2 linked regions of the Rattus norvegicus genome follow. The protein of the gene in region 1 interacts with the protein of each later gene in a pairwise test. Links are inferred from orthologs where the notes say so. Each region holds a gene or a part of one and is shown in the gene's direction. Other genes may lie near its edges.

The links.
Region 2: the proteins of Daxx (region 1) and Btbd6 interact in a two-hybrid assay, tested with the Homo sapiens proteins (2 studies listed by BioGRID and IntAct). The link is inferred for Rattus norvegicus from reciprocal best matches to the Homo sapiens genes DAXX and BTBD6.

What each region holds. Positions count from the first base shown.
Region 1 is NC_086038.1:4,974,921-4,979,187, reverse strand, and holds the start of Daxx (death domain-associated protein 6), read left to right. Parts: upstream 1-1,467; 5' UTR 1,468-1,547; exon of another isoform or gene 1,548-1,651; intron 1,652-2,070; exon of another isoform or gene 2,071-2,311; intron 2,312-2,404; 5' UTR 2,405-2,420; coding exon 2,421-2,627; intron 2,628-3,226; coding exon 3,227-4,052; intron 4,053-4,148; coding exon 4,149-4,267. UniProt on the Homo sapiens protein: Transcription corepressor known to repress transcriptional potential of several sumoylated transcription factors. Down-regulates basal and activated transcription.
Region 2 is NC_086024.1:137,877,734-137,882,001, forward strand, and holds Btbd6 (BTB/POZ domain-containing protein 6), read left to right. Parts: upstream 1-1,468; 5' UTR 1,469-1,555; coding exon 1,556-1,932; intron 1,933-2,008; coding exon 2,009-2,099; intron 2,100-2,202; coding exon 2,203-2,321; intron 2,322-2,469; coding exon 2,470-3,502; 3' UTR 3,503-3,929; downstream 3,930-4,268. UniProt on the Homo sapiens protein: Adapter protein for the cul3 E3 ubiquitin-protein ligase complex. Involved in late neuronal development and muscle formation.

The sequences.
Region 1 (4,267 bases):
CATGTCATGCAGAGACTTACACCGGCACACACATAAAACCGAAATAATTGTGAAAAGGTGGGGAACCTTCATTTCAGGCATTCACTCTGGGAAACCCACTTTGAGAAACCCAAGGATATGAAAATTAAAACCTTCATTATCTTTAGAGTCCCGTTAGCCACTGGAAACCCCCCCCCGCCCCCATTGAAAGCCGTAAGACCGGACGGGAAGCGAGGAAGAAGTGGGTTTAAATTTGTAGTTCGGGTTCTCTTGAGAGCAGCTGGGCTTTCTTTTTTTGGGGGGGGGGGGGCTGAGGACCGAACCCAGGGCCTTGTGCTTGCTAGGCAAGTGCTCTACCACTGAGCTAAATCCCCAGCCCCGAGAGCAGCTGGGCTTTTCTTGGTCCTGCACATTGGTAAGATGCCCGCCACCTGAGGCAGGAAGACCGCGTTGATGCAGTCTCCGCGCGAAGGGTGTTGACTTATCAGGCTTCCTCGTCAGCACACCTGAGGGCCTCGCCTCTCCACCCCGGGCCCGGCCGGCATCACACAGTTGTTTTCCCCTCTTCCTTTTCTCCGCAGCTCTCCAGGAGAAGGAAGACACCCCGCGTGATTTTATGAGCCTCGATTCGTTTCCCAGCGCTCCCAGCGGCAGCTTGCAGGGCTTCTCACCAAGCCCGCACCAGGTTATCCCGCGCTCCGCCTCAACGCCCTGCAGACCCCTGCCCGGAAGCACTGCCTTCCATACAGTCAAGACGACCCTCGGTGGAACAGGGGCCACGGTTCCCAGTAGGGAGCTCGGTCTGTGGTGCAGATTGAGCATCCAGTCTCGCGGACCGCAATAATAACAATACCTCACTCGGGCAGCATGCTGTGCTCATTTGTATGCATGCATATGTGCGTGTGCGTGTGTGTGCACCTGACCCAGGAGGCCCGGGCTGGACAGCCTCCAAGTGCACGCCGGCTCTTAAAGGGAAGGGCAAGCATAGGCAACCAGGCGGTGGAACTCTTGGTCGGAGGGAAAGCAAAGTAGGGAGTGCCAGGCTTACACCAACAGGAAAAGAAAATCCTTTATTTCCTTCCCTGGAGCCCTACACAGCCATAGACACACCAGCTCCTTAGGTACCTGCTCGGATGGAAGGATGGGAAGGTCTTCCCCGCCCTCCAGCCGATGGCGTGGGGTGGGAGGGCAGGTCTGGGGCAGGAAGTTTCTGATTGGCCGAGTGGCTTTGGCAAGCTCCTGGTGCAAAGAGCTCCACGCCTCGCGGAGCTGGCTGGTGCCGTACGGCAACGTGGCGCGCCCCATCTACCTGGTCCCAGGCCCCGCCCCCCTGAGTGTCAGTGCACCCGGAGCGGCGGCCTAGGTGGGCGGGCCACGCGTCACTTCCGGTCCCAAGAAGCCTAGGTCCCGTACAGCAATATGGCCGCCCTCAGGTGCTGCAGGCGGAAACTCCGCGCCTTCCGGTCTGTTGTAGGGCCTGAGGTGGGGGTGGGGGAAAGGAAGGCGGAGGGAACTTTGCGAGGATTTGTGATCCGCGCTGAGGGGAGCCTCGAGAGACCGTTTCTGAGGTGGGGGCCAGGTCGTTCGTGGAGCCGGGGTGGCGGCGCAGGAGTTGGCGAAGGCGAAGGATCCGCACGGCCTGGCTGCGGAGTCTGAGGGGCGAGCTTGTATGGTACCTTGCTAGCCCTGAAGGGGAATGTGGCGGCCTAGGGCTGAACGCGGAGAGGGTTACTTGGCGGGAAGCTGAGGCTGGAGACTGTCCTCGCCTGGGGCTGGAAGCCCAGACATTGGGAATGCTGAGTGGTGGGCTTGCTGTCGGTTACGAGTCACAGAGAATGGGGAAAACCTGGGTGCGGTGAGAGGGAGGGGACTGGAGGTGAAAAATCTCCAGCCTGAAGTCCGGGTTTGTGGAAGGTGGAACATGGAGATGGTTGTAGGAGCGGGAAGGACACCAGGCTCTTCAGAGGGAAACCCTTTAACCTCGGAGTGGAAGAGTTGGAGTTAGGAAGAAGTCGGAGGGGACTGTGATGATGGAGGGCGAGAGGTGGGCAAACCCATGTGGTGGTATCGACTGGGTGTTGGTTTCTGTAGACGGAGAGAGCAGTGTGGGATCTTATACCCCATCGGATTGGGAGTAGGAAGAAAAAACTCACCAGCTGACAAGAGAGTGGGGAAAACGCAACCGAAAGACAGGAAATTGACTGGGGGCTGAAATTTGGGACTTGAGACGATCGATGGGGAGGTTCCCCTTCAGAACTGCCTGAGACTGATAGTTGCAAAAGACAGGCTTTGAAGACATCTCAGAAAGGACGAGGCTATTGTGAACCCTGAGGTATCTGACTGAGTGGGACTAAGGAGGAGGGGCTTTTCCTGAGTCACCCTTTCCCTTCCAGAATTCTGACCTTTCAAATACTTTTTCCCTCAGGGGGATTTGATCCCCCATGGCCACCGATGACAGCATCATTGTGCTTGACGATGATGATGAAGATGAAGCAGCTGCTCAGCCAGGACCCTCCAACCCAGCCTCTAATCCTGTCTCACCAGGACCAGAAGCCTCTGGTCCCTCTGAGTCCCATGGGGATGGAGGGAGCAGTAACTCAGGTAGCAGGAAGTGCTACAAGTTGGAGAATGAGAAGCTGTTTGAAGAGGTAAGCTTCAGGGAAGGCTCCCTTTCCTTTAAGAGAAGGGTCTCGCTTTGTGGCCCTGGTTGCCTGGAACTGTCTAGATGAGGCTGGCCTTGAACTCACAGAGTTCTACTTGCCTTTGCCTCCTGACAGCTGGGATTCAAGATGTGAATCACTGGGCTGGAGAGACAGCTCAGTGGTTAAGAGCACTGACTACCCTTCTAGAGGTATCGAGTTCAAATCCCAGAAACCACATAGTAGCTCACAACCATCTGTAATGGGATCTGATGCCCTCTTCTGGCGTCTGAAGACAGCTACAGTGTACTCATATATAGAATACATCTTTTTAAGAAAAGGATGTGGGGGTTGGGGATTTAGCTCAGTGGTAGAGTGCTTGCCTAGGAAGCGCAAGGCCCTGGGTTCGGTCCCCAGCTCCGAAAAAAAGAACCAAAAAAAAAAAAAAAGAAAAAAAGAAAAGGATGTGAACCATTATGATGTGATTGGGCAGATCCCAAGGAAAGGGGTGTTTGATTGGCTGATTGTTCTGGCTTCCTCACTGATTCCCTCTTTTTTTTTTTTTTTTGGTTTTTTGGTTTTCCCGTCCCTTCCCCCGAACCGTTTAGTTCCTTGAACTGTGTAAGATGCAGACATCGGACCACCCTGAGGTGGTTCCGTTCCTCCACAAACTGCAGCAGCGTGCTCAGTCCGCTTTTCTGGCCTCTGCAGAGTTCCGCAACATCCTCTCCAGGGTTCTGTCTCGGTCTCGGAACCGGCCAGCGAAGCTCTACGTCTACATTAACGAGCTCTGCACTGTCCTTAAAGCTCATTCCATCAAGAAGAAGTTGAACTTAGCTCCCGCAGCCTCAGCGGAATCATCGGGTGATAACCCTCCCACAGATCCCCCGTCTGACCTTACAAACACCGAAACCACTGCCTCTGAGGCCTCAAGGACTCGAGGCTCCCGGAGGCAGATCCAGCGCTTGGAGCAGCTGCTGGCACTGTATGTCGCAGAGATACAGCGGCTGCAGGAAAAGGAGTTGGATCTGTCAGAACTGGATGATCCCGACTCCTCCTATTTGCAGGAGGCCCGCTTGAAGCGGAAACTGATCCGCCTCTTTGGGCGGCTGTGCGAGTTGAAGGACTGCTCTTCTCTGACTGGGAGGGTCATAGAGCAGCGAATTCCTTACCGAGGCACTCGATACCCAGAGGTCAACAGGCGCATCGAGCGGCTCATCAACAAGCCGGGGCCTGACACGTTTCCGGACTATGGAGATGTGCTGAGAGCGGTGGAGAAGGCGGCGACCCGGCACAGTCTGGGCCTTCCCAGACAGCAGCTTCAGCTCCTGGCTCAGGATGCCTTCCGGGATGTGGGTGTCAGGTTACAGGAGCGCCGCCACCTGGATCTCATCTATAACTTTGGCTGCCACCTCACAGATGACTATAGGCCAGGTAGGAAGCTCCTGGGATGATTTCAGGTGGAACAGAGGCAGCTCTAATCCCTTCTAGGATTGGGACTGACTGCTCTGACCCTGTTTCCCCACACAGGCGTTGACCCCGCACTCACCGATCCCACATTGGCTCGCCGCCTTCGGGAGAATCGAACCTTGGCCATGAGCCGGCTGGATGAGGTCATCTCCAAGTATGCCATGATGCAAGACAAGAGT
Region 2 (4,268 bases), on another chromosome or scaffold:
TGTGGCCCTGGCAGTCCTGGAACTCAGACTCAGATCTGTCTGCCCGTGTCTCCTGAGTTCTGGGATTAAATGTGTACACCATCACTGCCCAGCTCCATTTACTTTTCTGAGCAAACTTTGCAATGGCCTTTTTTAATGGTTGTATTATTTTTTCAATCTTTCACAGTGTGCAGACTCTTTTCTCTATCATGGCTAAACCTTGTTGTAACATTCTGGGTTTTACAGAGGTTATGCTAGTGGCTGAGGTGGGATCTTGATTGTTGATATCAAACAGCTTGCCATGTTTCTTGGTCATCTGTGTGTCTTCTTGAAAGAAGCATCTGCTCAAGTCACTTGTCCATTGTCTAATCCATTTGCTTTTCTACACTGCGCTCTTTAGATATTTTCTCCCTTCTTTGTGGTGGCCTTGTCTGTGGACAAGCTCCTTTGCTATGCTGATTCTTTGAAGTCTGAAGTTATCGTGTCTACTTTCACCTATGTTGAATCATTGCTCTGTGTGCCCCATGGTTTTGCTATTATTTTCGTTGTTGTCTTTTTATTTATTTAATGTATACGAGTACACTGTAGCTGTCTTCAGAACACCAGACCTCATTACAGATGTTGTGAGCCACCATATGGTTGCTGGGAATTGAACTCAGGACCTCTGGAAGAGCAGTCGGAGCTCTTAACCGCTGAGCCATCTCTCCAGCCCCGCTGTTGTCTTTTTAATGTGTACACCTTTAGTTTGGTCATAGTTCTACATGTAACAGTAAACCTTGTTTTCCCAGCCTGTATTACCTTTACTTCTAGGTAAAACCCAAAGAATTGCAATTAGGGTCTGGAAAGGATAACTTGCCTTTCTATGGTCATCACAGCTGGGATATGGAACCCACTCTGGAGTCAGTCCCCCCACTGGCTGGATAAACTGGCAAATAAAACGTAACACATTGGAATAATCAACTTAAAAAGGAAGGTCTACATACAGAGTTTGAAGCCACACAGAGGCACATGAGGTCCGGATTCGTGAAAGAAAAAGAAATTCTGACATACTAAAATGTCTACTGCCCTTGACTTTATGCTTTGTTAAAGAAGCTAGACACACGGGGCTGGGGATTTAGCTCAGTGGTAGAGCGCTTACCTAGGAAGCGCAAGGCCCTGGGTTCGGTCCCCAGCTCCGAAAAAAAGAACAACAACAACAACAACAAAAAAGAAGCTAGACACAAAAGGGGAAGATTAAGCCTTGCGTCTAAGACTCATTTCGTCCACGGAGAAAAGCTGGCTGGGTCAAGTTCTTTTTCAAAACCTGAGCTGTTGGATAAATCTCATTTCAGAGTCAGAACATGCTACTACACAATCCACCCTTAAACCTAGGCACCCGGGCGGGGCTTCAGCACTCCCTCCCCTCCCCCGGGGGGCGGGGCCCTGGAACGAGGAGCCGCGTCTCGACGCACAGTGACGAGAGACGCCGGCGCCGCAGCAAAGGGTACGGGCGGGACGGCGCCCCCTGCGGCCCGGCCGCGGGCTCGGTGCGGGGTGTGGGGTGCGGGTGGGCGGCGGGCAGGGCCAGCGCGGCCCCATGCTGCTGCCGCTCGCCTGCCTGCATGGGCGGGTGGCGCAGTGCCTAACCTCCCTGCTGGTGCTCGCAGAGCCGCTTCCCAGGCCCCGTCGCGGGGCGAAGGCGCGCGGCGCAGTACTGACCAGTGCGGAGGCCGCCCCGGCAGGAGCGAAGATGGCCGCGGAACTGTACCCGCCTGCCGGTGCCTCTGCAGCTACTGCCACCGACATCGCCAACAGCAACGCGGCGGGCGCGGCCGAAAGCACGAAGGTTGGCCTTTGCTGCCCACCCTGCCTGGCGCCCGCCCCGCTGCCACCCTTGCCCGCGCCGCCCTTGCCAGACAACAACAATCCCGAGAGCCCCAACTGGCAGTCATTCCACCCTACGCTGCGCGAGAGGTGAGCCGCCGCCCGCCCCCGGGCCTTGGAGCCTGGGCGCGCGCCGTTCCAGCCCGTGTGCCTCTGCCCTTTGCAGGAATGCGCTCATGTTCAACAACGAGCTGATGGCCGACGTCCATTTCATCGTGGGGGCCCTGGGGGCAGCCAGGCGTGTGCCCGCCCACAAGGTGGGTAGAGGAGCAGCCCTGTCCCCTGGTGAGCCTGGCTAGGGGCGTCTCCCTGGGCCTTCTTTACTGCCCTGTTGCTCAGGTGGTTTTCTTTCATCCACAGTATGTCTTAGCTGTCGGCAGCTCGGTCTTCTATGCTATGTTCTACGGGGATCTTGCAGAAGTCAAGTCCGAAATCCACATTCCTGATGTGGAGCCTGCTGCCTTCCTGGTCTTGTTAAAGTAAGTGCTGTGCTCTGGGTCTGGAAGGATGGGGTGGTTACCTTCCAATGTTCCCCTTCATGTTTGCTACAACCCAAGAGGTTGTGCAGGGGAGCCCATGAGCTCCTCAGCCCTTGCAGCTCCCCAGGAGAGTCCCTGCCTTACCCAGGTACATGTACAGCGATGAGATTGATCTGGAGGCCGACACAGTGCTTGCCACTCTGTATGCTGCTAAGAAGTACATTGTGCCTGCCCTAGCCAAGGCCTGTGTCAACTTTCTGGAAACAAGTCTGGAAGCCAAAAACGCCTGTGTCCTGCTGTCCCAGAGCCGACTGTTTGAGGAGCCTGAACTGACCCAGCGATGCTGGGAAGTCATTGATGCACAGGCTGAAATGGCCCTGAGGTCTGAAGGCTTCTGTGAAATTGACCGGCAGACACTGGAGATCATTGTGACCAGGGAGGCCCTCAATACCAAGGAGGCTGTGGTCTTCGAGGCTGTCCTGAACTGGGCTGAAGCAGAGTGCAAGAGACAGGGCCTCCCAGTCACTCCTCATAACAAGAGGCATGTTTTGGGACGAGCCCTCTACTTGGTTCGAATTCCAACTATGACACTAGAGGAGTTTGCTAATGGTCCTGCCCAGTCAGATATCCTGACTTTAGAAGAGACCCACAACATCTTCCTTTGGTACACTGCTGCCAAAAAACCCCCCCTTGACTTCCCCCTGACCAAGAGGAAGGGCCTTGTTCCACAGAGGTGCCACCGCTTCCAGTCTTCTGCCTACCGAAGTAACCAGTGGAGGTACCGTGGGCGCTGTGACAGCATCCAGTTTGCAGTGGACAGAAGGGTGTTCATTGCTGGGCTGGGCTTATATGGGTCCAGTTCTGGGAAGGCTGAGTACAGCGTGAAGATTGAACTCAAGCGGCTAGGGATGGTCCTGGCTCAGAACCTCACCAAGTTTGTTTCAGATGGATCCAGCAACACATTCCCTGTCTGGTTTGAGCACCCAGTCCAGGTGGAGCAGGACACCTTCTACACTGCCAGTGCTGTCCTGGATGGCAGTGAGCTCAGCTACTTTGGGCAAGAAGGAATGACAGAGGTGCAGTGTGGAAAGGTGGCCTTCCAGTTCCAGTGCTCCTCGGACAGTACCAATGGAACTGGAGTTCAGGGTGGACAGATTCCAGAGCTCATCTTCTATGCCTGAGGCCTAAGGATTGCAGTGGCTGCCACCAGGCTCTTCTTCCATGGAGTCCACCCAGTAAGTGCAGTGGAGGTGCAGGACACTGTCAACTGCTTTACTGCTACCATTAAAGGTTTGGCTTACTATATCAGCCACAGTGTGAAACTTGACTTTTCCCAGCCAGAGCCTGGGAACTGAACTGCCAATGTCCGCTGACCCTAGATGGCATTCCACAGGTGGAAGACAGACTTGGGTCCAAGGTAGTCCCAGATCCCTGCCCAGTGATACCCAAGCTTCAGGACCCTTGGATTTTCCTCCCTCTTTTGGATTCTAAGTGGTTCCAGCCTATATTGAGGTCTCCCATTCAAGCCACAGATTGCTGAAAAGTCACTTAAAATAGTTGCATCCTATTTAAGTGAATTTTCGTAATAAAGGTTTCACAGAACAAGAACCACATGTAGATACATGACTGTAGGAGTTAACTGGGGTGCTCTTTCTTCCTCTCTCCCTCTCCCTCTCAATTCTACTGAAAAGAACATCTTGTCTGTATGAGTTTCCAGTGCAGAGCTGTTAAAATTAAACTGTATCTTAGGGGAGCTCCTCTATTCCCAAGATGCCTGTGGCTTCTGGGCTGTCTTCTCAAGGGCTGTAGAACTCTGCAGAAGGGCATTTCATTCATTAAAAGTGCCTCAGGTCTATTATAGGAGTCAGATTTAAAGAGTGGGCTGTGTGCTCTGCTGCCTGCTTGCTGTGAGCTGCTCTGTGTGGGTAAAGCAGGATCTCTAGGACC